Linked DNA regions of Coturnix japonica. The protein of the gene in region 1 interacts with the protein of each later gene in a biochemical or structural test. Links are inferred from orthologs where the notes say so. Each region holds a gene or a part of one and is shown in the gene's direction. Other genes may lie near its edges.

Region 1 (7,291 bases):
ATTGTTGCACTGCTTCTTTCCACATGAAAGAATTTTTCTTGAAAGAATGTCACTTCAGTGCTGAACTGTAGGTATTCTTGTGTGTATGGTAAGTGACAGGGCTTGCTTTTTTTTCCTGCATCCCGATACATACCCATCTTGCTTATAGCAGCCATCTTAATTTTACTCAAATGTGAAGGTAGAACTGATGATCCTGAATACAGAGTATCTTTTAGTGCAGAGTTGTACATTTTCTGTGTTTCTCTTTCATAACTAGGTGGAAAAAGAGAGTTTGTGCCTTGGTGAAGAGCAATTGAGAGTTACTCCAAGTGGTTATTATTTCCAAAACATTTTCTATCACTTCTCTTACTTAATATGAGCCATTCACTGTTGTAGGGTGGCTGTTTTCATATCATGTCTTGGGTTGGAGGGGACCTTAAAGATCATTAATTCCAATCCCTTGCTGTGGGCAGGACTGCCCCCCTACCAGCTCAGGCTGCCCAGGGCACCATCCAGCTTGGCCATGAACACCTCCAGGGATGGGTCAACATGGCTTCTCTGAACAACTGCTCTATTGGCTTTATTATACATGGATAAATAGTTTTTCTCATCTTTCTAGATTCTGGTCATAGATCTTCCTTACCATATGCAGATACTTAATGAGAATAACTAAGTTGGAGCCTTCTTACTTCAAAGTGGCCTGAATGGCAATCCTTACTACATGGGGAGAAACCTGGTGAAAGTGCCATTCCTTTACAGACTTTGTGGTAATTTGTTTACTGTGGTAACTACAAACATTTGGTAGGCTCTGGTTACCCTGTTTATGTTACATGCTTCTTTTTGTAATCATCTTTTATAATCTAAAGCCTTTGAGGCCATGTATGCTGCGAACATATCAAATTAGCTATGATACCTCTCCACCTTGTGTGCTCTTATCACACACTGTTCCCAGAATGTTGTGAAGTTTTGAAGTTGCTCTGAGGAATTTTCTGGAGGCTCACTTTCTTTCTCCTCTAACACCACTATTTTTTTTTAGGACAGATCATCTTGGTTAGTTTTTAGTTTATTTGTCCCTGCAGGAGTCACAGACTCTTCGCTGTCTGAACAGAGAACCAAGGTGTGGTTTTCAAAATAAAGTGCTGGTTACATAATTAAATGCAGGTACCATGGATGTGCTTGGCCAATGTTTGGCTTTTTTTTTTTTTTTTTTTTTTTTTTTTGAAAAGGATTAAAAATAGCTTTCCATCTTACATAGTAGAGTTAAAATGAAGGATTCTTATCCTACAGAACTTGTTTTCCCCCAAAATGAAATGCAAATGCAAGAGTCTGCAGCTTTCTCTTAACTCACTGGTCTCTTGACTGCTGCTGTCGTGACTATACAAGAAAAACTGCATACACTTGTGGTGATATTTCTGGACTGCTACGTTTTTATTTATTCCCATTATTTTTTTAAGTGTTGCTAGAGATAATCCACCTGCTTTCTCTTTTTCTTTTAGAGGAGAGAACAGACCAAATCCAAGGAAGAAGAGTTGTCATAAATACTTCAACTTATGATGAATGTTTTCCCATTTTTTTTTTACCACATTTTCCCTGACTGGAAATGGGAATGTTTGTTTCATGTTACCTTTTTAATTGTCAGGGCAGTGAAGAGAACAGGAGAGCAAGGACAGGGATAGAGGCATCTCCAGTACATCTTTATATTTGTTCCTTCTTATTACCACTTTTCTTTAAATAAATAGATGAAAATGTGATTTTAGAAGTTGTGAGTGTGTCTGTTCTGCAGAATGATTATTTTCCTTTAGAGACATTAGTGAAGATTATCCACTGTTTTGACCAGGTTCCAGTGCCAGGTCCTCCAACCATACAGGTGCTCTGGCAGCCCAGCGAGGGCTGCTGAACTGCGCAAACCTGCATGTGATCCAGTTCTGCTGGCTACTGCAAGAAATTGCCAGAGATTGGCAGGATGATAGTTGAAACATAGGGTGTTGAATTCAGTCTTGTGAGGGAAAATCCTTAAACTCCAGGTTTCTCAATTGAATGTTGTTTACCTTCAACAGTTAGAACTATCCATCTTGGGAAGAAATGCAACTTGTGGATGGGCTTTTTCACTTAGCATTGCATACTGACCTGTGTATTGCTATGTGTTCCTGTCTGTTTCACATTTTAAACAGCCTGTGAGACTTGCATGAAGTCTGGGGGAAAACTCTGGTCGAATTTTAAGCTCACATCATTTGTATGGGTTAGATGGAAGTGATAGCTTGACATATTTTCCAGTAAGGTCATCTTTCAGGCTATATGATCAGCTTATTACCAAAATTTTACTTCCTGTGCAATCAAACATCTAACCACTACTCATGGTTATGAGCAAGTTGTTTCTCTTTTTCTTGCTTGCTAGAGTCATATCCCCAGGATATTTTTAAATGTAACTCCTGGAAGTGTTTAAATGTAATTATACATGTGCAGGTGAAGGAATTACTCGCATGCTTACAATTACTTCTGCCTAAGGACTTCCTGGGTCCAGTAGTTAAATTGTTGAGACTTGATAGAGGCTGTTAAACACAGTTTAAAATGTGCAAAATAACGGAGCCAAGTGGTAAATCTTACTATAAAGTGTTATATGTCTGTCAGAGTGTAAATTTCAAGTAAGCATCCTTGTGCTTCTCTGTGCCTTTTTCTTTGAAGTTGCTAGTGCCCTGTTTCTTTAAAGTTTCAGATATGTTCGTGATGGGAGGGAACCAAAATGTGCTTGTAAAAAGAGTAACTTGCTGTGTTTTGATCTGTTTCTGACACTTAAAATAACAACTATTCCTATTATTTTTAAAATCAAGGATGTAGTCTTTTTTTTTTTTCTTTTTTGTTTTCCCTGGGGCCTCTTACAGCGAGAGTTACTGAAACTCTGAGTAGATTTCCCTGCTGTGGTTTTGATGCATTTCTGTGTGAAACGGACGGCAGGATTTGTTCTAGTATGTAGGCCACTATTGTATTAGAATTACATAACCGTGTGGAGTGGTAGAAACAGATGAAAAGACCAGGATGCACGGCGTCCCCGAACAGATCATATCCCGTGACAATGAAGACAGCGCAAGCTCTGCAGAGAATGTGGTCACATGCGGTCAAAAAGTTGAGGATTTTAAGGGGGCACGTGAGTTGCTTTTTGTTGCATCTTGCTCTGGGTCTTTCCTCCCTCCCCTGTGTGGCTTGTGTCTCCTTCCCCCCTCCAGCTCACTTTCACAGCCCAATAACTGTGGTGGCAGGTCTTCTGGAGGTGGTTTTCTGAAAGAAGCTGCCTGAGGCTATCTCTCAGTTGCAAGTAATTGCATAAATCGCGGATGACTGTCAGTGGGAGTTGCTGCTTGTAGCGCACAGATGATTTTAGTACTTTGAATTGTTTCCTGACACGGATTCTGTTAAGCGGTCTGCGTTGGCCATGTAGAAAGTGCCTGCCGTTTTGGTGTTCAGAATTAGGCAGATTTAAGCAAATCCTGACTGCGCTGCTCTCATTAGGAATGGACTGACTTTAGTCACTAGTGAATTCAGACTAGCTAATGACAGTTACTTGTACTTCCTGCAGCAATCCTGCAGCAATGCTGCTGTCTGTGTAAAACCTTGAAAAGCAGTTACTAACAGTAACTGTTGCTGTAACAGTAACACTGCTGTTTCCCCTGTCTTTCTTTCTCCTGTGTTTCTGTGTGTGATCTTGCATTGAAATGGCAATTGTACAAGGGACATCCAGGCTGTTCAGATCCTTTCTTGTTTCCCTAGAGACAAAGAGCGAAGAAATTGGCTGGGGTGATGGGAGTTTTTTGTAACCCATCACTTGATGCAGACAGAGGACAGTCATGTCATTGGGCATGGAATACAGGAATTTTGTTATTCTCGTGGAGACTTTTAATCATAGTTTTATAAGTCCGTGGCTGGTGATTTTTAGCATTTGTAGTCTTTTCCTCCCATTTAGTCTCCCCCAGTAAACTGTCCTTGTTGGTTAGTATCGTGGCAATAGCATACAGCGGTATTTTTTTATAATGTTAAAGGGATTATTGCTGAGAGATTTGAGGGAGTACAGATGTGTTTTTTGCCTTGCAGGCTTCCAAGGTGACCATTCAGTTCTCTGAACTGTGTTGCAGATCCTGAATGGCTTTATCAGTATGGCAGAGCTGGTCCTGCTGTCGTGGTAATTATGTTGCACAAAATCAGCTTTGCAAGTACATAATGTACTTTCCTTCACTAATATGGTATACAGCAACTGGGAGTCAGTTTCCCAAGGACCAGTTTCTGAAAGCGTATTAATTACAAATTTAAAAGTGAATTATTTAAGTGTCTTTTATTTAATAGTTACTAACAGTTCCAGACTAAAAAGCCCCTGGCCTTCCCCTCCTCCACATTTACACAGAACGTGTGTGAAGATCGTAACAGATATTTTAAGGAATATTTTCTGGGCACAGATGAGATGATGCTGTTGTCTTGACATCCTACAGGATCATAACTGTAGTATCTGTAGGCAGTAGTTTCTTTTCCTTTCCTATTGTTTGTTTTTGTGACCAGATATCACAAGACTTGTTTGTCAGAGCAAATAAACTTACCTGTGTTGGGTTTCTACACTTACGTTTGCTACGTGATGCGTCTCTTATCTCATGTGCAAGGTTTTACTCCACAATTCACTAGAGCCATCGTTTTGGTGAAGGAAATTCCTGTAAGCTCAGTTTTTTCCTCCCCACAGATCCTCTCTTAGTCTCTTTACTCTCCTTAGTCTCTTTTCTGCAGCATTGCATTGAACAAGGAGTCATTTCTCAGATGATCCTTTTTGCAGATAGAATATCAGAAGGCTTGATGTTAGGGTTGCTGGAAGAGCAGGGTGTGCGTGCTGCCTTCCGGCCCATAAGGGCAGTCTGCCTGCCTTACTTTTGTAAGTAAGCCAGCCTCAGCAGTGTGTTGGGCTGGTAAGTAGGATTGGTAAGGACTGCAGGCAGTGTAAATTGAATTTAAATAATGTTCTTGCCACATACATAAGTTATTTGGGCTTGTATGCAGTAAGAGAGAGAAAAGATTTTCCATCTACCTGTCCACAAAATCTGAACCCAGCTGCTTGTCCTTTAAATGTTACCAATCATCCTCTTATTTCTAAAATTCTCTTCATTGAAGCCGACTGTAATATAAATGACACAGAGGCCTTTCTTTAGTAGAGACCACAGAGCTTGAAGATACCATATAGAAAAGTAGGATAGAAATGATATAAATTAGTGTCAGTAGTAGCTAAACTATCAGTTTTCATACATGCCAGACAAGCAACCCAAGTAATTTCGTTTCTCACAGCAGCTCAGAATAAAACATGCAGATAAGGAGATTTTTTTCTTTTTTTAGTCTACAGGAGATCTCTGTGTAAGGGAATTTGCGTAGTGAGATGGTTGACTGTCAGCTTGCTGAAAGGTTAGGCATGTAAATTGCTAAAGTGGGAATATCAGAGAAAATAATTTCACCATATGCTTCATCAGACACAGTAACTCTCTGACAATAGACATGGACATTTTAATAGGAAGTTAGAAATGCTGATCATTCTAGACAGGTTTATGAGTACTTACGTTAATTTCAATTTAAGTCATTCTCTGAACAGATCTGCTAAATGTGTTTTCAGTTTGACTCAGAGAGTCCTAGAAACTGGGTAGCATTGTCCATTTTGGAGGAGAAAAGTATTGGTGCACATTTAATGTTGTTTGGTGTTGTGAACTTCCTGATAAGAATGCTGAGTGTCGTGCATCTTCCTGCAGGAACTCTGAGCAGAATTTAAGATTTGTTCCATTTTGTGGTGTTTGAAACTTCCACTGGAAGAATACATTATGGGGTTCTCTGCATTTGAGAAGCAGCATCCATGGCTTGCCAAGTAGCTATTGACTGCCTGAATACATTTGCTCTGGAAAAATGAGGGATGCTTTACAGCACAGGCATATCCATCATGTGTTACATTTCATCCATTTTTTAGAGGAGCGCAGTCACCAGTAATCCTTTTAAAGCCGTTCAGGGGACAATTAAGTCAAAACTGAGCTTCTAATAAGACTTCTGCTTCCCCAGGAAACTCATATCTTACCAAGAAAAATGTCTACTTTCAGCAGTAAAAACAAACCTGTGACTTCAGCATGCATGCACATTCTTGTGAAGAACCTGGATTTTTCTTTTGCAAATGAATGCTCTTGTTTTGAATTGGAAAGTTTTCAGTGTCGAATGCTGTTGTTCATTTTTTTCCTCCTCATTTCAAGGCCAGGCAGTGAAGGAGCTAGCTGTATGATGCACCACTACTGAGTGGCTATGTTGTGTTTTATTTTAAGTTGTGCTGTTGCAAAGATTTCAGGTTATATCACGACCCATTCAGGATCAGTTTATAGTGGAAATGTGGAGAGGGAGAAAAAAGGAAATATAAACATCTTAGAAGTGTCATAGAAATGTGTATACCCGTGCTATACAGAGATACACTGCTTTTCTGTAACATAAAATTTTAGCTGGGGAATCTAAATATTCAGTTGTATAGCTCAGTGGATTTAGAATTTGGTCAAATTCATGTGAACAAGAAGAAAGATCTGAAGGCTTACTGGTTTATAAGATCTCAGTTCCAACTTCTGATGTTGTGATGTGCTAGACTGGAGAGATACTCAGTTTGTGTTCTTTGAATCAGGGTTATATCGTGGTAGTGTGATTTGAATTAATTGCTTGTACTAAATGAAGCTTTTCCAGAAAACTGGAATGAACAGTTGAATCAGTGAAATTTGAAGGAATTCTATCAACCTGAACCCTTCAGATACTTTTTCCATTTTTAAGTAAACCATCATTAAGTGAAATGCACGTGTCTTGTACTAACTATACCAAATGCTTGTAATAAATGTATTATGTTTACATCTGTGTTTTAATGGGGTATTTCACAGTCTAGGTAGTTGTATGCTTTTGGTTTTACTGATTGGTTTCTGTGTGCAACAGGCCCCAGGCATGGAAGAGCTGATATGGGAACAGTACACTGTGACCTTACAAAAGGTGAGTGCCTGTTAATATTTTTTGCATTTCAGATATACTAGTACTGCTGATATCTAAATATATTTCACAATAAATGTTATTAGCATATCTGAGCCAAGAGCATGATTAATGTGTTGTACAAATTAGATATGTTTTCCATTTCAAAGCTTAATTGCGAGTTACTCATACTATAATGTGACTCTTAAATATTAAGAATAAATTAAATTAACTGTTTAAGTGCTGTTTACTTTTATTTAGCCTTTGCAACAGTGGTCTAATGTGCTACACAACAACCACATAGCAAAATTCATCACTGAAT
Region 2 (7,272 bases), on another chromosome or scaffold:
CCCAGAGCCGCTTCCCGGCCAAGAGAGGATTTGGCTCTAGCACCGAATCAGTGGGACCTCTACTGGAGTGTATGGCACCGATCACCCACCCACACTTTGTGCCCTTGGTTTTTGTCAGACTGACAGCACACAGAGCTTGGACTGTGTGTCACCTGCCCATTACCTGACCAGGTGTGCAATGTCCCAGTTGGCCTCCAGGGTCAGCGGTCCCTCCACCTCCACTCCCTTCTCTGTCACAACAGCGACTTCATACTAAAGAGAAGAAACAGAGGAAGTTTTCAGTAAAGCCCAGCCTACAGACTTGGATTTATGGTGGGCCCTATGAAAGTTTTCATCATTGACTGCCAATAATAAGAATTTACAACAGGCCCTATGGAGGTTCTCATCATTCACTGCCAATAACGATCACTGAGTTCAACTCAGTGTTACAGATCCATCCAATTTGGGACATTTGATGATTCTATGATTCATCTGCTTTAATGTGGCACCACATTCAGTAATGTCTGTCTTTTTCCTGGGTGGATAAGCGGAGTTGGCTCACTGTGGTAGGACGGTTCCTAAAGCTACGGGATTTCAGCTCTGGGTGTCACCGTGGAGGAGATGGGAGATGAAGCACAAACAGCACTCACTCTGTTGAAGGACCGAGCATCTCTGTAGTACAAAATCTTCATGCAGCGCTCAATCAAGTCGCGGGCTTCCTCCTTGGTCAGGCTGGGCTTCTTCTCCAAGACTTCTCTCATCAATGGCTGAATAAAAAGTCATCAACACCCAACAGCTCAACAGTCAGTCACCCTGCACCGAGCTTGTTGCTTCAATGTGCTCCGCATTCCCATTTGTGAGCACTAACCTGAGCCAAGTATGCGCCATACCCCGTAGCGAGAGTTGGGGCTTCATAGGCCACGCCGAGCATGTCCACGTAACCAAGGAAGCTGAAGGACAGAGCTGTGAGCATCACTGCTGCACAAGGGGAGGGCACCCAGAGCGCAGCTCATAGCCATGGGACCCCCCCATCCTTCTCTGTTTGGAGAAACTCTAAAGGATGTTCCCATCCAACAGAATTGAGCTGATGGGGTCAACCCCAATGTTCCATGTTCCCGTGTTCTCACCTCTCACCATTGTAGAACCCTCCGATGACAACAGTGTTCCACAGTGGGTTGATTTTGGACCTCCGGTTGTACATGACTCTGGTCAGCCAGGAGTGAATGGCTTTGGGGCTGTAACTGTGGCCATCTCCCAGCAGTTCCTCATCAATTCTAAAGCAGAGAGAAACATCATTCAACTCAGAGGAGCTGGGAGCCACCAGGCCAGCACCCAACCCACCTGAGCAGGACAAGGGATCGCAGAATAAGACTGTAGATTCATTAAGTTTGGAAAAGACCCCAAAGATCATCAAGCGCAACCCCAACCCATCACCACTCACAGAATCAGTGGGGTTGGAGGAGATCTCTGAGCTCACCGAGTCCAACCATCTATAACCACTAAACCACATCCACCCTCCTCTTGAAAACCTCATGCCAAATCTGTGGGCTGCCTGGAAACGCAGACTTTACACCAAGAGAAGCAGCCAAAGGCCACCAGTAATTAAAGGAGCTGGAGGATCCCAGTGAGTCCCTCCAACCTGGATGTGCTGCTGTGCGGCTCCTGGGACCAAAAAGACTTACACCATCTGGTTGATGATCTGAGTCAGGTACTGGAAGTCAGCATAGTCCCCGGAGGCGCCCAGCACGGTGCTGTCGTTCACCTTCAGCAGCCGGGAGATGCTGCGGAACCGCGCCAGGGACCCGTAGGAGCCCATCATGTCCGCCGCGATGATAGACAGCCGCGCATGCAATACCTTGGCGAGCCGCAGCACGACCTGCCGGTCCAGCCAGTCGCGGGCTCCTGGGGCCGAACGACATGCACTGCCAGCCGCAACCCCCAACTCCTCGGAGCCTCGCCCTTCCAGCCCCGATGCGCACCCTCCAGCCCCAGGCGACTTCCTACCCCCCCAACTCCTCGGAGCCGGCCCCAGCCCCATCCAGCCCTCCAGCCCCAAGGCAATCCTACCCGCCCGGAACTCTCGCAAGCTGTCCCAGCCCAACCTCCAAGCCCCCCCCACCCAAATGCCTCGAGAGCCGCCAAGCCCGCCCCCGCTCTCTCGAGCCCCGGCGAGTCCACCTCAGGCCAGGACCACTTTTGCTCGCCCCCCGCGCCGAACTGCGCTCGGGAGCCGCCGCAGGTCCGCCCTCCAGCCTCGCTTCCACCTCAAGGCCTCAGGGCACTTCCTACCCCCCCAAGAGCTTCCTTGCAGCGTCGCCGGAGCCCCCGTCTTAGCCTTCCCCCCAACTCTCGAGCCCCCAGCCGCCCCATCCGACGCTTTACAAGGCCCGAGGGCCGCTTACCCTCCCCCCCACGTGTGGCCCCGCCATCCAGGGTGCCCCCCCGACCCACACCATTGGTGTCCACAGCCCCCCCGCGCCCCGATGGCGCGGGTCCCCGGCACCCCAGACACGCCGCGTGACTCCGCCCGTCCATCTCCGTGCCCCCCATTCCCCCCCCCCATATCTCACAGGGTAGCGCTGTGGGGCAGCAGCCCGGTCCCGATGCCGACCCCCCCGGGGCTGTACGCTGCTCCCGGTGACGGACCCCCGGCCCAGAACGGCGGCGGCGCGTTCATTGCTCCGACTTCCATCTTAGTCACAGTGCGGCCGCGCTGCGCACGCGCGCCGGGAAGTGCGGCCTCCGCCGGCCACCGTAGTGCGAGGGGAGGAGTGGCGCCATCTTGAGGGCGGCGCGGGATGCGCAGAGTGAACGGCGCCATGTTGGGAGTGGCGGAAGTGAGGCAGGGCCGAGAGAGCTGGAGGGGGCGTGGCCGGGGGGCGTGGTTTGCGCGGCTCGACTCCGCCTTAAGGCGGGGCCTTGAGCGGAGCGGACCAATGGGAGCGCAGGGGGCGGGGCCTGCGGAGGTAACAGGTTGGGGCGGCGGCGGAGGTGCGCGGGGCGGTGCGGAGCGGTGAGTGCGGGGCTGTGGGGGGTCGGGGGTCCCGACCCCATTGCGGGGCTCAGAGGGGCCGGGGATCAGGGAACGGGGTCTGCGGGTCTTGTCCTGCACTATGGTACAGCATATAAGGTCTGAGGGTGTAGGGGCTGCTGTCCTTAGAGTGTGTCCTGCCCCGAATTGGAGCCTATAGGGTTTGAGGCTATAGGGGTCGGTTCTGTGCAGCCCATTCAGAACCCATAGGGGCCGGAGTCATTGGGGCTGGTGTCCCTGGGACGTGTCCTGCCCTGTGATGGGCTGTACAGAGGCTGAGCACAGTGTTGCTGGGGTCCATGCAGCGTGTCCTGCCCCACGGCAAAACCCAATGAGGGTCCCGTCCTGCTCCATGGCAGAGTATATAGGGCTGGGTCCATAGGGTCTGCTGTCCTTGGAGGTTGTTCTGCCCCATGGCGGAGCCCATAGGGCTGTGCCTGCTGCTGTTGTCCTTCCTGGGTGTGCTGTGCCCTGTGGCACCGTCTATAGGGCTGGGCTGCAGGGCTGCCCTTCCTGGGCTGTGCCCTTCCCCGTGGTAGAGCTTATGGGGCTGGAGCCCTGCAGCAGGTCCCACTGGGGCTGACTCTGCATAGGGGTTGCTTGACCCTATAGTCCCATATAGTCCCCTTAGGGTCTCTTTAAACATCCCATAGGGTCTGGCTCTGTTGGGAGGTACCCTGCCATACAGAACTCTCCGAAAGTCCTTGTTGTGGGCTGTGATGTGACCCATAGCACATCCCATAGAATACCCTCCAGTAAGGATTCTTCCCTGCTTTGGGTCTTCCTTCTTCATCTGTAGGATCCCTCATTGATCCTCTGTCCCCTGTAGCCCCTCCCTGCCCCTATAGGTGCTCTGCCCCTTCCATAGGGGGGTCTGCATTTCCTTACAGACCCTCTGGGCGCCCATGCTGCCCCCCTCCCACAAAGCCCCACTGCGATGTTCCCATAGGCACTGCTCTGTAGGGCCCCGGAGCCCCACAGATCCCATTCCTGTCCCTTTCAGGGCTGCTCTGCTCGTAAATTCCACACGGCCTTTGTGTCTCCGTCCTTATCTCTGCTGATAAGAGCCATGTCCCAGCCCTGCTCCTCCCACCCCAAGCACCTCTGGGATTGTGAGTCCGTTCCCTCCAGCCCTTGTCAGGACCCAGATAATCATTGTGGAGCTGCCCAAGGCTGAGCCCCATCCCACAGCAGGGAGAGACCTGTTGCTCCAGGACCTCAGGGCATCACTGGGGCCGACCCTTCCCGGCTGCAGGCAGCCGTAATGTGGCACCTCCTGCATCTTTAATGCTGCCCTACTTCGCTCAGCTTCAGTAGGAGAGAAATGCGTGTGCATGGTGGGATGTGATGCTGCCAGCCCCAATCCACCCCGGAATCCCCAATGCTGCTGGGCTCTTGGTGCCAATGGAACCCTAAATGACACCACCCCCATCCCTGCGGTGATGGGTAGGGCTGCCCGGGTCAGCTGTCCCCGGGATAACCCTTCCCTGTGCTCCGTGCTGCTGTTCCAACCCTTTGTTTGGAGCATACGGATTGCTCTGGGCTGGGTTTGCTCCCCGCCACCCTGACCAGTCGAGCTGGTTTGGAGTGTGGCTTGTAACTTGGATCCCATTGATAAGGATCCCATAGATAACGATTCCGTAGATAGCGGGGCTCGCAGCTTGGATTCCGTAGATAAGGATCCTGATCCTTTAAACAGCGATCCCATTGAAAGCACTGCTTCTAGCCCTGATCCCATAGATAACAATCCCATAGAGAGCAAGGCTTCCAGTTTGGATCCCATAGATAAGGATCCCCCAGATAACATTGCTATAGGACAATGTGATTTCCAGCTTAGACCCCATAGATAACACTCCTACAGACAGCACATCTTCCAACCCTGATCCTGTAAGCAGCAATCCCATACAGATACAATCCCATACTCCTTTTCTAGCTTGGATAACACAGTGATCCCACAGAGAGTGTGCCTTCCAGTCCCAATCCCATAGACATCAGCTGGGGTTGGCCGTTGGGTTGGACTGTTGTGGTTGGCCATGAGGGTTGGCTGTTGGGTTGGACTGTTGTGGTTGGCCATGAGGGTTGGCTGTCAGTGTTGTCGGGCTTTTGTGGTCCATTGAGTTGACCACTGAGGTCGGCCATTGGGGTTGGCTGCACGTAGACTCTTGGGTTGGCCAATAGCGTTGACTGTTGGGGTTTGCCGTGGAGCACCGTGTTGTGACCGACAGGTAACCATCCACCCGGGGATGGCTCTCAGCAGCCGCTGTGTTTTCAGGGCTGGGTGCAGGGAGTGGGACGGTTCCATCGTTGCCGTGTTGATGATTAACCTGAGCGCGGTGACGTCCCCGGGGCGTGGGGTGGACGCGGCCCCGTGACGCGCTCCCGGTTTCGGGTTTCGGCGATCGTTGCTGTTGGTCGGGGTTGCAGGCAGGGCATGGAGCCGTGCAGACTTTGTCCCTGTTGAGCAACCAGCGCTGCAGGTGGAGCAAAGAGCCCGAAGCGCAGAAAAACGGGCAGAAAAAGGCGATATTTCTGTGCTGGGATCCCGCTGTCCCCGTTCCCATGCCTGGGGCCGGGACGTGCGGTGCTGATGTCCTTCCCCTCCCGGCGCTGCCCGTTGCACAACAGCTCTGTGGGTTGCGGTGCCCACAAAGGGCCCTTTGTGCTCCGTATCTGCATGAGCGGAGCTGGCCGCCTGCCACGCATGGCTGCGGGACCCACGGGCAGAGCCGGGTGCCACCGTGCGCTGTGGGCGACGTGTCCCCTAGAACAACAAATAGGGTCCCCCTTTTTATCACCCTCATCCGCACTGCGATCCCCTCCTGGGGGCTGTGTGCTGTGTGGGATCAGCTCCGTGTTCCCGTGTTGGAATGCGGTCTGTTCCCCTTTATCTGAGCGCTGGAGCCCAGCCAGGATGGGGCATTCCCAGGGATTAGTGCTCACCTGCTCCTGGCTCGAGCTGTGGGGCTGGACCCACTGTGTGCCCATGGGGGAAAAGGATCCGTCCTCACTGCTGTACCCATAAGGTGGCAATGGAGTGGCCATGGGGACACGGTGACTGTGGGGTATCCATGGGGTGTCCATGGGGACACGGTGACTGTGGGGTACCCATGAGGTGGCCACAGGGAAATGGTGCCATGGGGTGACCGTAGGGACACAGTGTTCACAAGGAAACCATGACTGTGGGGTGGCAATGGGGTGGCCATAGCTTGACCATAAGGTGAGCACAGGACGACCACGAGGACATTTGGGGTCTGGTGCCGACCTCGTTGTCGTGATGCCACGTGGGGACAAGGAGCTCATGGCAGCAGCCCACGTCCCCATGGCCGCCCCGCTGGGTGCCAGGTGCTGCCACCTCCACCATCTGCTCGGGGCCGGTTCCTGCTGCACCAAGTTTGGCACCGACCCTCTGCCATGTGTTGGGCTCAGCAAACCAGCACCACCAGCACCGCGGGGTCCCCGTGGCCATTTGTCCTCCGCAACGTGCCCAGAGCTTTGGGGTGGGCACGGGGGGGGGATGTGGGGGCTGCACTGGGGTGACATCGGGACCGAGAGCTTTTAATGTGATATTTTGGTGCCGTTCTTCCTTTGTCCCTACGTGCGGGACGTGGTGACCCCGGCTCAGTGCCACCATCCCATGGCCGTGTGCTGAGCGCGTGGTGCTGGCGGTGCCGCTCACAGTGCGGTTATTTTGGGCAGCGATCGGAGCTGCCGGCACCGGAGGCAGCGGGTGGAGGAGCGCAGCGCTGTGGGGCCGGGGCCGCCCGGGGCGCTGCTGTCGCTCCGCATCAGCCCCGCTGGAGCTCCCGGCGCTGCGGTGGCCGCGGGTCGGTGCAGGCGGAGGGCGAGAGGAGGACGTCGGTGAGTGCCGGGTGTCAGCGCTGCGCTGCGGTGTGGGGTCGGTCCGGCCCCGTGGGGTCGGTGCTGAGTGGGGCTGGCGGTGCTGAGTGGGGCTGGCGGTGCTGAGTGGGGCTGGCGGTGCTGAGTGGGGCTGGCGGTGCTGAGTGGGGCTGGCGGTGCTGTGTGGGGCTGATGGTCCACTGGTGCTTTATGTGAGTGTTTCACTGTCGGCTCAATCCGGAGAAAGGGATTTCAGCACAGACTGGGAGCTGTGCTGTGCATGGGAGCAGTGCCACCGGCTCCCCAGCACTATGGGGTCGCGTCCCCGCTGTGGGATCACATCCACAGTGTGTGGCGCTGCCTGTCTTAAAGGCAGCATCAACCCCATGGGTCTACATCTGCCATATGGGGCCACATCAGCTCCG
Region 3 (7,022 bases), on another chromosome or scaffold:
CTGCTTTATACCTTACCATCTTTTCTTCCTTGCTGCTTTCATCTCCTGCCCTCTCCCATTCTCTCGATTCCCCTGTTACCACCTCTGGCCCCTGCAGTCCTGTTTCCATACCCCTCGCTTTTGCTTCAATGCTGACTTCTCAAAAACAACAAAACCAAAATGCTCCTATCAAAACCCACAAAGATCAAACACGCGCTTTGAAGCAGGCATGAATGTATGCATAGAGCAACTAGTTTACTTTCAGCAATCTTGTCACAGAAACAGAAAATCCAATTCCAGCTACAGCACATCACTTGGACCCCCTGTCAGCTGTGACTAGCAGGCAGCACAGGTACACCAGGTGCCATGTAAACAAGATCCTTGCTTGGCACGCAGACCCACCCCAGGTTACAGCAGGGAGAGGGCAGCTGCTGCTGTGACTACACCCACACAGGTATCCTTATGCAGCAGTAGGCAGCGATTGCCTCGTGCACACCTCTGACTAATGCAGGTACTCTGCCAGCAGTGCGCAATCTCCAGCCACAGCCTGTGACGTGCTACACCCTGAATTTCCCTAACAGGCAAGATCCAAAGCGTTTGTTTGTTTTGTGCTGAGCAATTCTGCTGCTGCACCTTCTCCTCCCTGCCTGCTTCTCCTCCTGGTTTGCGTTTGCTTTTTCGCTGGTGAAAAGAGTTGAAAACAAAAGAAAACACGAGAAGAAAATGGAATTACAAAACCATAAACACCGTTAAAAGGGAAATTCAGGGGCAAGCAGAAAACTTCTGACTCATTGCAGAAAATGGATTGGGTTTCAACTGCTGGCACAGCCTGATGCTGTCTCAGTGACATGTGCTGGATGGGAAGTGCCAGCTATAGTTCCTGGGTGCCTGTCCAAACAACGCCCCACGTTTCAGTCTTGCTGACAGAGCCTGCCACCGTGTTCTGAGAGAGCTGTTAATTAAGAGGCAAAGTCCAATCCCAACCTGGCTGGCTCTATTTTTACATGATTTTGTTGTTGTTTGCTGCGTCTTTCCACTTGATTCACAACCCTTCAGAGCTGCCAGCTGATTGCTTGCGTTTTTGCTTTGCTTTTCAGCAGCGTGGCACAGAACGTGTGATTCCCCACCATTCCAGCCCTTCTACCCTCGGGTTTCTACTTTTAAAAGAGGTGGTTGTTTGTTGGTTTTGTTTTTTAATCTGACATTTTGTCCTGAAAGGATGTGAGACGTGCAAAAGCAGTGAATGTGGAAGCCACCACAGGAGGCCAAGACACGGTATTAAAAGGAGCAATGAAAGAAAGCAAGCTATTGAAGTGTAAACTCAATTTTACTGTGAGTACGCCGCAGATCAGAAATGAGTAGTTTGGATTCCTGGTGCAACCGACACCAAAATATTAATGGCTTGGTACAAACAGAGAGCGTAGAAATCTGTTTTCTCTGTGTTTTCTAGAGGAGAGCCCATTTGTTAAGACACCAAACTTCCAGCTTCATCCTAATAAATAGCATCTCTATAATAACAGAGAATTGCTTTCTTTCGATTAACTTTGCTCACAGGGTCGGACTCTCGATCCCTGTTTTCTTCCTGGTCTGACAAACAATGGTGTTGTTTTTACTTCCCTGCCTTGGATCCCTTTCTTGGGTTAAATCCGCAGGAAGGAAAAATGCAATCTGAATCGCTGCAGGACACCGCCTGCCTTCCTGCAGCAGCGGCTGGTAGGAGCACGGCCTAGATAGGAAGTGCAGCCCTGATAATGCATGGGACCAGGGAAAAATCAGTGTCGAGAGCCATGGTGTGAAGCACAGTGTGCTCTGCATGACATGGGCTGGGGGCTGGCACCCCAGGAATCTACATGGGCTGAATTGCCTTGCTCCAATGTATGCTCTGCTCCCTGAGGGCTGCCCAGCTCTGTGTTTTGATTGGTATCAAAGGACAGAGCAAATAGGTTCAGGTAACTCGGAAATGCTGGCAAATGAGTCATGAAATGTATTACAGTTATTCATTTGTTTTTACAATCCAGTACGAGCGTAAGTTCTGTAGAGATATTTGAATTAAAAGTCATGTCAAAACAAACTATGAAAAATACCAGTGATTTGATGCAGGGAAAACGTGGTCACTGGCTGTCTTCAAAGCCTCTGAAATACATTACTCCTTGGAGACATCTCTCCCCATCCACAAATCTACATTCATTGACTAACACTCAGCTCCTAAAAGCTCCCTAAGAGCAGGAGCTGCCACTGACCGCACCAAGCAGCACAAGGATGCTGCTTCAGACTTCTGTGTGTTGAGATGAGACACCAAAAGACCAACTAAACTCCGTAACGTCCCAGTCAGGAGCCACAGCACCAACATGGGACATGACAGCAGCTTCACACTGTGACTTTGGGGCCTGCAAGGCTCTTCTAACAGCACTTACAGACTGTCTGTCCAGCCTGGAGCACAGCAGGCTCTGGGGTGACCCTCTGGCTCTGTACAGCTGCCTGTAGGAGCACTCAGTGTTGTGGCAAGTGACAAAACGCAGGGTGAACGCAGCACATTGCACGAGGGGATGTTTAATTTGGGTATAATCACAGAATCACAGAATTGTAGGGGTTGGAATCTCTAGAGATCATCCAGTCCAACCCCCCTGCCAAAGCAGGCTCCCTACACCAATAATAATCATAATTTCTTCATACAAAGGATGGTAAAACACTGGAGCTGGCGATGAGGCCCCGTCCCACAGGCACTGAGAGTGTGGATGTGGCCCTTGGGGGCTGCAATAGTGCTGGTGGGGGGTGGGCTGGGGGGTCCCTAAAGTCTTTCCCAAGCGCAGACATGCTGTGATCTCACTCTGGCCGGTAACTGGACAATTTTTGCTTGTGACTGGAATTGTTGGTTCTGCCCCAAGCACGAGGTGTGTGGGGCGATGTGAGGGTGCTGCAGCCGGGCCTGAAGGGGTGCAGGGCCGAGTGGAGGCGGTGGGACCCCCATGTCGGGCTGACCCCCATGGCGGGCCCTCACCTGCCCGCGGGGCGGCGCGGCGGGCGGTGACGGGAACAGCGGCCGGGCGGGGCGGGAGCGGCGGCGGGAGGCGCCCGGAAGAGCCCATTTCCTGCTCGGGACGGAGCGGGTGCGGCCCAGACAAAGCGGCCGGGGGTCGGTGCGGGTCCGGCGGCGCAGCGCGGCTCCTCGTCCCTGCTCCGGTAACTATCGCACTAGCGCCGCTTTAACGGCGCCTTGGAAACTTTTGGCGGCGGGACGGGCCGGGCTCGGCTGCATTGGGCCCCGCGGGGCGGTCGGAGCTGAGGCCGCGGGCGGGGAGCGGGGCCTGTGGGGCTCCGAGTGGGGCGGGGGCAGCGCGGCCTGGGCCGGGTTCCGGGAGCGGGGCTCGGCCGTGGGGCTGTGGGGTCGTGGGGCTGTGGGGCCGCGCTGTGTGTGTCGGTGTGCCCCGTTTCGGGTGATCCCGGATCAGGGCGGGCGGGGCCCGGCAAAGTCCGGGCAAGTTTCGGTGGCGGCGCGGAGTTCGCTGAGACTTTTCCCCGAGGGCTCGGGCTGCCCGCATGGCTCCTCGGTTCGGCTCCTCGGTTCGGCTCCTCGGTTCTGCCCTGGGCTGTTCCGACGCTTCGGGAGCGGCCTGGCTCTAAGCGCGGTTCTCTCCGTCCGCCCCAGCTGGGAGCGGCGTTGGGCGCTGCCCCCGCTCGTCCTTGGCCGGCCACGACTTGTGTCCCATCGCTCCTATTTAAAGCGTGGGGTGAGAGTGTCAGACCCCAGCTGCTGGCTCACACCAGCCCTCCCGGGGTCACCAGGCGCTCTGCTTTCACACACTGAGCTCAGCATAACGCGTGTGAAGCATCCCGGTGTGGGCACAGCGAGGTGTGTGTGTCTCTTGCTGGGAGCTGGCTGCGGTCTGCCCCCATGTTACCCCCCCACACCCCGTAGAGCTTCCAGACCCCTCTCTTGTTCCCCCTTTATTCCCTGCTTCTGTCTGCCCGTCCTCACCCAGAGGGCGATGTCTGTGTCTGACTGAGCTGCCAGTCGATAACCCCCATGCCCTGCAATAACTCACACTCCCTGTTTGCATTAGGAGTGCCCGTGTCCTCGTTCCAGCACCCAACGTGACCACCCATGGCATGGCTGAGGTGACTGGATTCAATTGCTCTTTCCCCTCACCCCCCACTTCCTTTTCAATCTTCCCCCTCCCTCCCGTCCCCCCTTTTATTTTCCTGGGACAGGGGCTGAATAACCAGAGTTGTTCCTGATGCTGGAGTTGCTTCCTGTGTTATTCCTGCGTGGTGAGCAGGGAAGAGGAGGAGGTGGGGAGGCTCTGCTGGTTGCATGGATCCCAGTGCACATCCCCAGCCCGGCTCTGGTGAGGCTTCACACACTGCCCAGCTCAGTGGGGCCTGTCAGCCCTTGGGCTGGGCTGTGGGGTGGTCATTTTGTGTTTCAATGGTGTGAAAGCCAGTTTGCTTCACAGAACTCGTGGTCTTTGGGTACGGTTTGGACCATCTTTGGGTGCTGTGTGTTTGCTAACACTTGTTTTTCCTTCCTGTAGTGAAATATTTTCTTTGGAAAGGGCATCATTTCATGTTGAGTCATTAACTGATTTTTTTATTCAGAGAAACAGTTTTCAATGGAAATATCTTAGTTCCTCTTCTGAAAAGTCAATGATTTAGTTCTTGGTTGTTTTTTTTTTTGAAGGCTTTGCCCTAACCTTTTCCATAATAAACAACAAGCTTTCAGCCTTTAGCTTTTTCCAGCCAGCTCTAATAATAGAGCAGTGGAGATTAAAAGTTTACCCAGGGTGGCGGGGGGAAGCACAGCGGGTGGAGATTAGAAATCCCGCACCCAAAACGGTGACTTAAAATATTGTAGCGAGTATTTATGTCTCCATAAATTCTCCAGCTTCGTGTAACATCAGCATTTCCAGTGTCTGACATGTGTAATGGCAAATACCAATATACAGCTGCTTCACAGGGTGTCCGTGGGTCTGATAAAGTTAACTGAGAGATGTAATAGAAAAACAATTTGTGTGTTTTCAGCAGCATGAATATCTTCCTCCCGCAGCTGTGAGATGGAGAAACTGATCTTGCAAAAGAATCCACATAAGTAGAAGTGTTTATGAGCTGGAAATAGACTTCAGTAGAATGTCAGACCTTCATTGAAGTTGCATCTACTGTTAGTTCTTAATTTCTAAGGTTATTTTCTTATGAAGAGAGTTTGTTAAGTTCATGGAAGTATTTAATGGCATGGCCAGTCGACTCATCATGGATGCTTAGTAAGGTTGGTATTGAGTGAGGAAGTACAAGGCCATGGTCCTCCCTGAAAGGACTCGGTGTATTGCATCTGGGTTGGTTTTACTGGCACCTCTTGGCTTTGGACATCAGAGGAAACGTGGTGAATAAAAGAGGACTGAATATTATGTTAGCACAATACCATATTGAGATGAGGTCATGTAACACAAAGCTGAATGCCCGTTGTTGTTCCCTGCTGAAGTGCCTTAACTGGAAATCACTCGAAGTCTTACATTGTAGAACATCGGTGTGTATAACCTTGAGGATTTGGGTTCTTTATTACTTCTGGGAATCCACCCTACCTTGGCTTTATAGCTAATCAGGAGTAGCACTGTATGTAGCTCATGCATTGGTCAAACTGAGTTACAGCTTTCCAGGAAGTGCAGATGTTTGACAGTTACTACTTGTATTTTCATATGGCTTTAATCCAACGTGTGAGGCTGGAAAGAAAAACTGCAGCAGCACCTTTGTTGGAGGAACCCAACTGGCAGCGACCTGTGGGGCCATAAGGCAGCAGTGGCTGGCAGAGCGCGATGCAGTGATGTGCCTCATTGAGTTACAGGAGGAATGCAGTTACTGCAACTGTGAGTTGGGTCCTTCTCTTGAGTAACTGAGATTCTTCATCTTCTATTCAGGGTTAGAATGGGTGTTGACTGTTTTCATGTGTGTAATGGGTTACTATAGATTCTCCTATTAGCAAATCTGATACTTGAATGTGATTCATGATTCCGCCTTGTTTAAGGAACCAGCTACCTTTTATCTGGCATGATTACATCTTTTTGTTAGTCAATCCCAGCTGTACAACATAAAACATCTGCTGGCCCTTTCATGGGTGTTTATAAACAGCTCTGGTAGAGTAAGAGAGGAGTAACCTTTTTTTCCACACTTTATGAAGCAATGGAAATTCAGTGTGCCAACCTATACTACCAGTTTGCAAGTGGAAATTCTCTGCAGTCTCTTGACATTCCCTTACTTAGAATTCTAGCTTATAAGGCAGCTACCTGAATCATTGTATCATCCACGTATCTCTTGAAAGGCTTTCTTTGAATTCAGTCATCTAGGAATGGAGAAGGCAAGCTTGAGGTCATACAGCTAAGGGGGGTAGTTTACCAAGACAGAGAGTGCAACAGTAGCGAGAACACAAACCAAACTGGATGCCAAACAGTTCCCTAGCACATCTGTGTCTTTATAATCTTAAGAGTGAATTGAAGTCCTTAATGTTTCCAAGGGATGAGCAAACAAACTAGAGCCAGCAGTGGTGTGCCAGGTAGGATTTCAGTGCTCACAGTGAGATACAGCTCTCAGTGTGTGCTTCTTTCCAAGCAGATCTCAGTTCTCAAAGCTGTCTGTGCTGTTGCAGATCAGAGCTGTGACTCACCACATGCTGCAGAAGGTTTCCTGGTCAGCGTGGGGCTGATGGCAGGGAGTGGATGTAAGCTGGGGTAGGAGATGCTGTGAGCATGTTGGTGCACTTTGGTCTGGAGTGGCTTTGAGTAGTTATTTTGGGACAAGGAGCCTGAAATTACAGGGCTTGAGAGAGCTGATGAGGGCTCAAGGAAATAAGATTGTCCTCTGTTTTTTTTTTCTTCTGGATATTGCCTGAAGGAAATGAGGGGAGTTTGGGGCAGATGATTCTGATGCGCTTCTGTCCTCGCTGCTGTGCAGCACAAGATCAAGAGGACATTTGGGGAACTACCAAACTGGCACCTTTTAAATTAATAAGGGAATCAATAAGAAATAATGCTACCACAAACTGGTGACCTTGATGGCTT
Region 4 (7,057 bases), on another chromosome or scaffold:
CCCCCCCTTGAGCCGGACCCTCGGTATGGGGAGGGCCAGGGGGGGAGGTGGGGGCTGAGGCACACATTAAAGGAGGCTGAACTGGACATGTCACTCTGTGCTTGTGGCAGTGGGACTGGTGCCGGGGTGGGGATGGGATTGGGGCCCTTAAGGGGTTGGGTGGGGGGGGTCTTAGGTGTTGAGGTGCAGCTGAATACAGTGGGGTGGGTGGGGGCTGCTCCTGCCTCCAGCCCACACCCCACAGCCCTCACTGTGCCCCCCACGCCCGCTGTAGGGCAGCACAAAGCTGTTAATGTTTAACCCATGGTGCCAATCGGAGGCAGGTAGCGGCTGCAGCACTCCTGGATGGGGGGGGGGGCCCACATCCTGCCATGCAGCAGGCAGGTAACGTGGGGGGGCAGAGGGAGGCAGGGCTGGGTGGGGGTCCTGAGTATCAACAGGACAAGGACGGAGCTGCAGCAGGGCTGAGTGCACCCTGCAGGGGAAACTGAGGCATTAGGACTTGGGGGGGGGATCCTGGTGCCCCCCTCCAGCAGCACGGCCACCGCCGGGGGATCCCATCACCAAAGGAGATGATGGCTGAGCTCACCCCCCCCAGCAATAAGAAGGGACCACGGGATGATGCTGTCGGGCAGCACTTGAAGTCGTGGCTGGGACTGCTGTGGGTGCTGGGGGGGCTGCAGCTGCTGTGCGGGGGGGCGGCCTTTATCTGTGTGTGTGCTGCCATCCCATGGGGTTACAGCGCTTACAGCACTGAGCTGCTCCCTGGGGGGGGGCTGGGGGTCCCGCTGACCCCCTTTGTGCTGGCAGTGCTCGGCCTGGCCTGGCTGCTCACTGCCCTCCTGCTGGGGGTCACCACCCGCTACCATCACATCCTCTTGGGGGTCACCTGGTGGCCCCCCACCGAAGCAGGGCTCTATGTGCTGCTCTTCCTGCTCTGCCTGGCTGCGGCGGGGGCCCACGTTCACACTGTCACCCTGGGGGGGCTCTGCTCCTCCCCGCTGCCTGGCAGCCCCCTCCTCACCGAGCTCTGCCGTGTGGATGGGGCTCAGGCGGCCGCTCTCCTCTTCCTCTTCCTCACTGCTCTGCTCTACCTGGCCGGCAGTGCCGTGGCTCTCAAGGTTTGGTACCAGGGGGCTGCAGCGATTCCTTGTAGCCCTATGGACAACCTGCAGCCCACGGGGGCTTTGAGCCCCCCAGTTTCCATCCTGAAGCCTCCGCTGGTCCGAGCCAAACGTGTAATCTTCGAGGATGAGGTGGGGGTGGCAGGGAGACCCCTATGGGGGGCTGGAGTCACCACCAGCAAAGAGAGCAAGTGTTCAGGCTCGGTGCCCCCCCAGCCTGATTACATGATGTAAGTGACCATCCTCGGTGTGAAGGGGGGGGGGGGTCCATGGGGGGTCCCGTGGGTTGAGCTGGTGGTGGTTCTCCTGCAGGCGGTACCCGGCGATCCGGAGCTCCCGGCAGCGGCAGCAATACGGGGCGGTGTTCGTCGATCAACACGCCGAGTATCGGGAGCTGCGGGGCCGACTGAAGGCGGAGCGGTGGGGGGAGGATGATGATGCTGTGGGCAAGGTGGGTGTGCGATGAGATGGGGGGCACAGGGGGTGGGTGGGTGGGGATGGGGGGGGCTGTGCCTTTCTGCTCTGTAGGGTGAAAAAGGGGGGGGTCTGTGTTTGCTGTGAGCTCCTGGGGGAGAAGAGGGTGAGGAGGGTGAGGGGTGTGGGCTGCGTGGGGGGGGTCTCGGTGCTCAGCGTGTCCCATTGCCAGGATTTGGCCTTCGTGGCAAAGCAGCAGCGCTGCCTCTACCTGAAGGAGAAGCTGACACATATTAAGGCACAGATCCAGGAGTATGACCGCAACAGTGACCGCAGCAGCACCGTCCTCTTCTGAGCGGGGCACGATGGATGGAGACCCCCCCCCCAGAAAAAAAAGCCCTGTGGACACTGTGGGGCTCAGTACTGGGGGTGACAGCACTATGGGCACCCACTGCCTGCTGTATTGCAACCACTGTGGCAAAGGGAGCAAATCTGGGGGTCTCTAGTGGCTCTGCACCCCCCCCCCAGCACAAAGCAGGTGCAGCCAAAGAGGGATTGGGGCACTTTATAATAAAATCCCATGATGTTTCCGGGGGGATTCGATGCATCTCGGGGGACCCGCAGCGGGTGGGGGGCACCCAGAGCCCCGGGGATGCTCCGATGTCACCCACTCAGCCTTGCACTACGGGGACCCCCGCCCGCAGCCCCCGCTCCCCCTCCCCGCAATGGGGGCGGACAACGGCAGCGGGGCCGCCCTCGGGGCTCCCCCCGGAGGCGGAAACCGGGACCGGTCCCGTCCCGCAGCGCTCCCGGCTGCCATTTTAAGGTGAACAAAGCGGCGGAGGTGCGTGCAGGTGACGGGTTGTGCGGTGGTACGGGACTCCGGAACCGATACCGGAACCGGGGTGGGGGAGTGCGGGTCCCGGTAGCGGCGGGGGTGGTGCTTTGTGGGTCCTTCCGAGGGTCTCCGTCTGTATCCGCCGGTACCGGAGCGCTGCGAGGACCGGGTTGGGGGGGGGGGCTGCACCGGGAGGGGCTCCACGTCTCGGGGCTGTCGGGTGGGGGGACACACAGAGCCCCCCCCCTCCCCATCCTTCCCCTCTCCGGGACCTGCGTTGGGGACGGGGAGGGGGGGGTTGGGACATCGCGACCCCCCCCCAACTCCCCGCCTGCCTTCCGCTCGGGTTACCCCGCGGGGTTCGGGTTTCTCATATTGCACCTGCCGGGGGGGAGGGTCAATGCTTGGGGTTGTGCTGTGTCTGTGGGGTTGTGCCTTTGTACATCGTGGGGGGGGGAAGCTTTAGGCTGCAGAGCCGTCCCGTCTCCCCCCGTTGCCCCTCATGGCGTTGCTCCCCCCCCCCCCCCCCAACCTTCCTGCGCTGTTGCTGCAAACACCTGTGAACTCAGAGCAAAGCAAAAGCAAAGGGCGATCCTGAGTGCGGAGGGGGGGTCCGGGGTAGGGGAAGAACCGGCAGTGAACCCCCCCCCCCCACCCATTGCTTGTTAATCCCAGCAGCTCTGCTGCCGGAGGGGCCCTCGGGGGTGAGCGCTGCCCTCGGTTAATCGCTTTTGTGCTTGTTAATGAGACGACCCCATGACGCGGCGGGTCGGGCGGGCAGGGCTGAGCACCCAGCGCTGACTCACCGTCTCTCCCCGCCCCAAAACGTGCCTCAGTTTCCCTACGAGTCGCTGTGACGCGTCGGACACACGGACGGACCGACCGACCGACCGACGGCGATCAAAGTCCCCCATTGAACTCAACGGGGACGGGGAGAACCGGCGGTGTCAGCGCTCCGTCCTTCCCCCCCGCAGGTTCACCATGTTCAGCAAGAAATCCTACGACTCTCCCCCCACCATGTACGGCCCCCCCGGCGCTGATTACGGCTACGGTTCGCCCCCTCCGGGCTCTTACTACGTAGACGACGCTCCGCAGCACTTCTATAAGTGGACGTCGCCCCCCGGCGTGGTGCGGGGGCTGCAGGGGGGGGTCCTGCTGCTCTGCGTTGCCATCTTTGCCTGTGTAGCATCCACGCTCGCTTGGGACTATGGCTACGGCCTGGGGGGGGCTTATGGCACCGGCTTGGGGGGGTTCTACGGTACCGGCTACTACGGCAGCTCGTTGGGCTACAGCTACGGCTACGGGAGCTACTATGGAGGGGTGAACCAACGCACGGCGAATGGCTTTATGATCGCTATGGCCGTGCTGTGCTTCCTGGCCCAGTTGGGGCTGTTGGTGGCTGCTCTCAGTAAATCAGGGGCCACACGCTCACGGCGATTCTACCTGGCTGTGCTGGTGCTGAGCGCTGTGCTGGCCTTCGTCATGCTCATCGCATCCATCGTCTACATCATGGGGGTCAACCCGCAGGCACAGATGTCCAGTGGTTATTACTACAGCCCCTTGTTGGCCATGTGCAGCCAGGCTTATGGTGGCACCTACCTCAACCAGTATATCTACCACTACTGCACTGTGGATCCGCAGGAGGTGAGTGTGAACCCCCCCCCCAATAATGATTTAAAGTCAGCCCTTTAAGGTTGTAGTGGGAGCAATTTGGGGTCAGAGTGTCCTGATGGAGATGAGGATGCGGTGTCCCCCCCCCATAATGATTTAAAGGCAGAATGAGGTCGTAGGGGGAGCAATTTGGGGTCAGTGTGTCCTGATGGGGATGTGGTGTCCCCATTCTTAATGCCCCCCCCCATTTGTGGTGCTGCTGCATTGGGTGGAGGGGAGGGGGATGGCACCGTGTGGCCATCAAAGCACAGGAGTTTCGGGGAGGGGACAGGCTGTGCCCCAACACTGAGCTGCTCCCGGGTACTTTGGTCTCCAGGCTTGTAAAAGGACTTGAGCAGGGAGGGGAAGCCGGACTGTGCTGTGCTGTGCTGGTTGGGGTCAGTGGGGCAGAAGGCAGCAGGTTCTGCACGGCCCCGGTTTCGGCTGGGGCCGTTGTAGGGTTCCTGTACAGTGCTGGGGTGGGACCGGTGCTGCTGGTTTGTGGCAGCCGGGCTGGATGTGCTGCATTCCTGCACCTTGAGCATAACACTGCTGCACCGTGGAGGAGGGGGGGGGGACACAACATGGTGCTGTGCTCAGTGCCCCATAGAGCTCCATGCTCAGCTGACCCCAATGGAGGTGCAGTGTTGGGGTGTCCCCTCCGTCTGCTCCCATGATAAAACCCAGCCTTCAGCCCTACAAACCCCATGGTGGCTCTGTGTTGTGGACTGCCTGTCTAACCTATGGGTGTCTATGGGGGGAGAGCTGCCCCATTCAGCCCCACACGGGGGCTGGGTGAGTGCAGACCCCTTCAGCCCCCCCCTCCCTGCTTCCCCTCCAGGCTGTGGCTGCTGTCTGTGGGTTCCTCATTGCCATCCTGCTCTGCCTCATCTGCTTCTTCGCCCAGAAGACACGCAGCAAGATCTGGCGCTATGGCAAAGCCAACATCTATTGGGACCGTGCACCCGTAGTGCAGGAGGGGCCCGATGTGGAGGAGTGGGTGAGTATAGGGGGGCAATGGGAGCATCCTCCTCCTACCCTGAGCAGGTTGGGAGCTGGGAACGTGGCTGTGCCCCATATCAGGAGCTCCTCCTGCTACAAACAGTGCTGTACCAGGAGCCGTGGGGCTGAACTCCTTCCCCAAGCAGCCCTTTTATTTCCCTTCTCTGGCCCTAAAGGCAAACAGGGTTGGATCAGATGGGCCGGGGGCCAGCAGTGCTGAGCCCGTCCCTTCTGTCCGCTCTGCACCGGCTGCAGGCACTGCTGGGTTTCGGTCTCGTCAATGATTAACTCTATGTGCTGACACACACACAGCCATGTCTAGGTCCCACCTGCCCATTCCCAGCCCCATAGGGATGGGTGTGATGTGCCAGGGGTCTGCAGGTTCTGCACCCCTCCGTGTCTGTGTGCCCACTGTTTGCTTTTCCTTCTGCACAAACATCTTTGTTCGGGTTTATTTATTTTCATTCCACGTCCCTCCCCAGCCCGGCATTTCCTGCTCCTTGGGAGGGTTGGGGCACAGACCCCACACCCAACATAGTCCATAGCAGTGTATCCATCTCTACCAGTGCCCCATGGCAGCAGTATGGGGTGGTGCTGCCATACATGCAGGCAGGGAGTAATTTTAATGCCCCCCCCCCCCCAACCTTGAGGATGTCTCACTCTATGCATGTGGTTGGGGCGAAGCAGTGACCTTTGTGTGGGTGTGAGCTGCAGTCTGACATAGGGACCCGGCTGTCCCTGCACTGGTGGAGGACCAGTTGTTGGGGGGGGGGGGGGAGATCACTTAATGATGGAGGAAGAGGCAGAGGAAGGGGCTCTGCTGGCCGGAGCTGGAGCTGACGTCCCCAAAGCCACCGTCCGGCCCCCAGCTGGGTCAGCATCCGGCACAAACAGCCACAAAGGGCAGGAAGGAAAAAGGGGGGGGGGACAGGAGAGGACATCCTTCCCAGGAGCCCCAAACCGGAGGCTGACACCTGGGGCTGTGGGAAGGGCTGTGGGGTCCCCTGAGCTGTGGGCTGGGACCCCCACAGAGCTCTGTGCAGTGTAGCATGGGGGTTCCTGTGGGTCTGTGATCTCCCACCCCTAATGCAGGGGGGGTTTCTCCATCCCTATGGGGACGGTGCCCCCACCCCTTGGTGTCCGTGTCCCCCTGTGAGCTCTTGTTCTTATTGCAGGTGAAGAATGTGGCTGATGGGGCCAGTGTGCAGGACGAGACGGCCACTCTTGCCTACTCAGAGAAGCCCACCAGCCCCGTTGCTGCCCCCCCATACAGCTACGTGCCCCCCCCCAGCGCTGGGTATTACACCTCAGGCACCTACAGCAGCCGGGGGTGAGTGGCTGGGGGTCTTAGGGTTAGGGGTTGCCATATGGCCATGCTGATGTCCCTGTGTCCCTATAGTGACCAGCCAGACCGTGCCCTCAGTACCAGCCCTGTGCAGGCAGAGGAGGAGGAGAAGGGGAAGGATCAGCCCAGCAGACCCTCTGCCCGCCGTGGCCGCCGCCGTCGCCGTAACCCTGAGCTGGATGAATCCCAGTATGAGACCGACTACACCACAGCAGTGGAGTCTGGTGATGAACGGGACCAGGAGCAATGGGCCAGGTGAGGGGGAGGGGGGTCCTGTGGGTGCCCCCCATCTACAGCCATCCCCATAGAACTCACAGCCAATGCTCCCAGTGAGGGGGGAACGACCTGCCCACCCCCACCCCTGGGGGCTCACTTTGTGTTGTCCCATTGTCTGTACTATGGTGAGGAGGGTCCATTGGGACCCCCCCCCCCCCAACAGGGCTCAACCCCACGCTGCCCTGCAGCCTTTAACCCCTATGAGGAGGTACCCAGGTACACGAGGGGTACCCATTCCGCCCCACCCCCTACTTTGGGGTCACCCCATACTGTTCCACAAGCCTGTACCCTCTATGAAGAGGGGGTCCTGTGGGAGTCCCCCCCCCCTTACAAAGGGCTCACCTGCCCCTTCCCACAACCTATACCCCAAATGAGGAGGGTCCTATGGGATCCCTCCTCCCACAGCCC

The links.
Region 2: the proteins of TJP2 (region 1) and CGN form a complex in vitro, tested with the Homo sapiens proteins (2 studies listed by BioGRID and IntAct, with this or other methods). The link is inferred for Coturnix japonica from reciprocal best matches to the Homo sapiens genes TJP2 and CGN.
Region 3: the proteins of TJP2 (region 1) and CTNNA1 form a complex in vitro, tested with the Homo sapiens proteins (2 studies listed by BioGRID and IntAct, with this or other methods). The link is inferred for Coturnix japonica from reciprocal best matches to the Homo sapiens genes TJP2 and CTNNA1.
Region 4: the proteins of TJP2 (region 1) and OCLN form a complex in vitro, tested with the Homo sapiens proteins (3 studies listed by BioGRID). The link is inferred for Coturnix japonica from reciprocal best matches to the Homo sapiens genes TJP2 and OCLN.

The regions. Positions count from the first base shown.
Region 1 is NC_029547.1:31,073,495-31,080,785, forward strand, and holds the start of TJP2 (tight junction protein ZO-2), read left to right. Parts: upstream 1-2,993; 5' UTR 2,994-2,998; coding exon 2,999-3,121; intron 3,122-6,939; coding exon 6,940-6,993; intron 6,994-7,291. UniProt on the Homo sapiens protein: Plays a role in tight junctions and adherens junctions. Acts as a positive regulator of RANKL-induced osteoclast differentiation, potentially via mediating downstream transcriptional activity.
Region 2 is NC_029540.1:2,377,272-2,384,543, forward strand, and holds the start of CGN (cingulin), read left to right. Parts: upstream 1-2,914; 5' UTR 2,915-2,915; coding exon 2,916-2,992; intron 2,993-6,679; exon of another isoform or gene 6,680-6,868; intron 6,869-7,272. UniProt on the Homo sapiens protein: Probably plays a role in the formation and regulation of the tight junction (TJ) paracellular permeability barrier.
Region 3 is NC_029528.1:14,038,248-14,045,269, forward strand, and holds the start of CTNNA1 (catenin alpha-1), read left to right. Parts: upstream 1-3,024; 5' UTR 3,025-3,159; intron 3,160-4,304; exon of another isoform or gene 4,305-4,325; intron 4,326-7,022. UniProt on the Homo sapiens protein: Associates with the cytoplasmic domain of a variety of cadherins. The association of catenins to cadherins produces a complex which is linked to the actin filament network, and which seems to be of primary importance for cadherins cell-adhesion properties.
Region 4 is NC_029543.1:2,404,429-2,411,485, forward strand, and holds the start of OCLN (occludin), read left to right. Parts: upstream 1-2,288; 5' UTR 2,289-2,382; intron 2,383-3,212; 5' UTR 3,213-3,357; coding exon 3,358-4,020; intron 4,021-4,867; coding exon 4,868-5,026; intron 5,027-6,203; coding exon 6,204-6,358; intron 6,359-6,427; coding exon 6,428-6,628; intron 6,629-7,057. Other genes in the region: OCEL1 (occludin/ELL domain-containing protein 1), read left to right, coding at 573-1,354, 1,437-1,575, 1,771-1,893. UniProt on the Homo sapiens protein: May play a role in the formation and regulation of the tight junction (TJ) paracellular permeability barrier.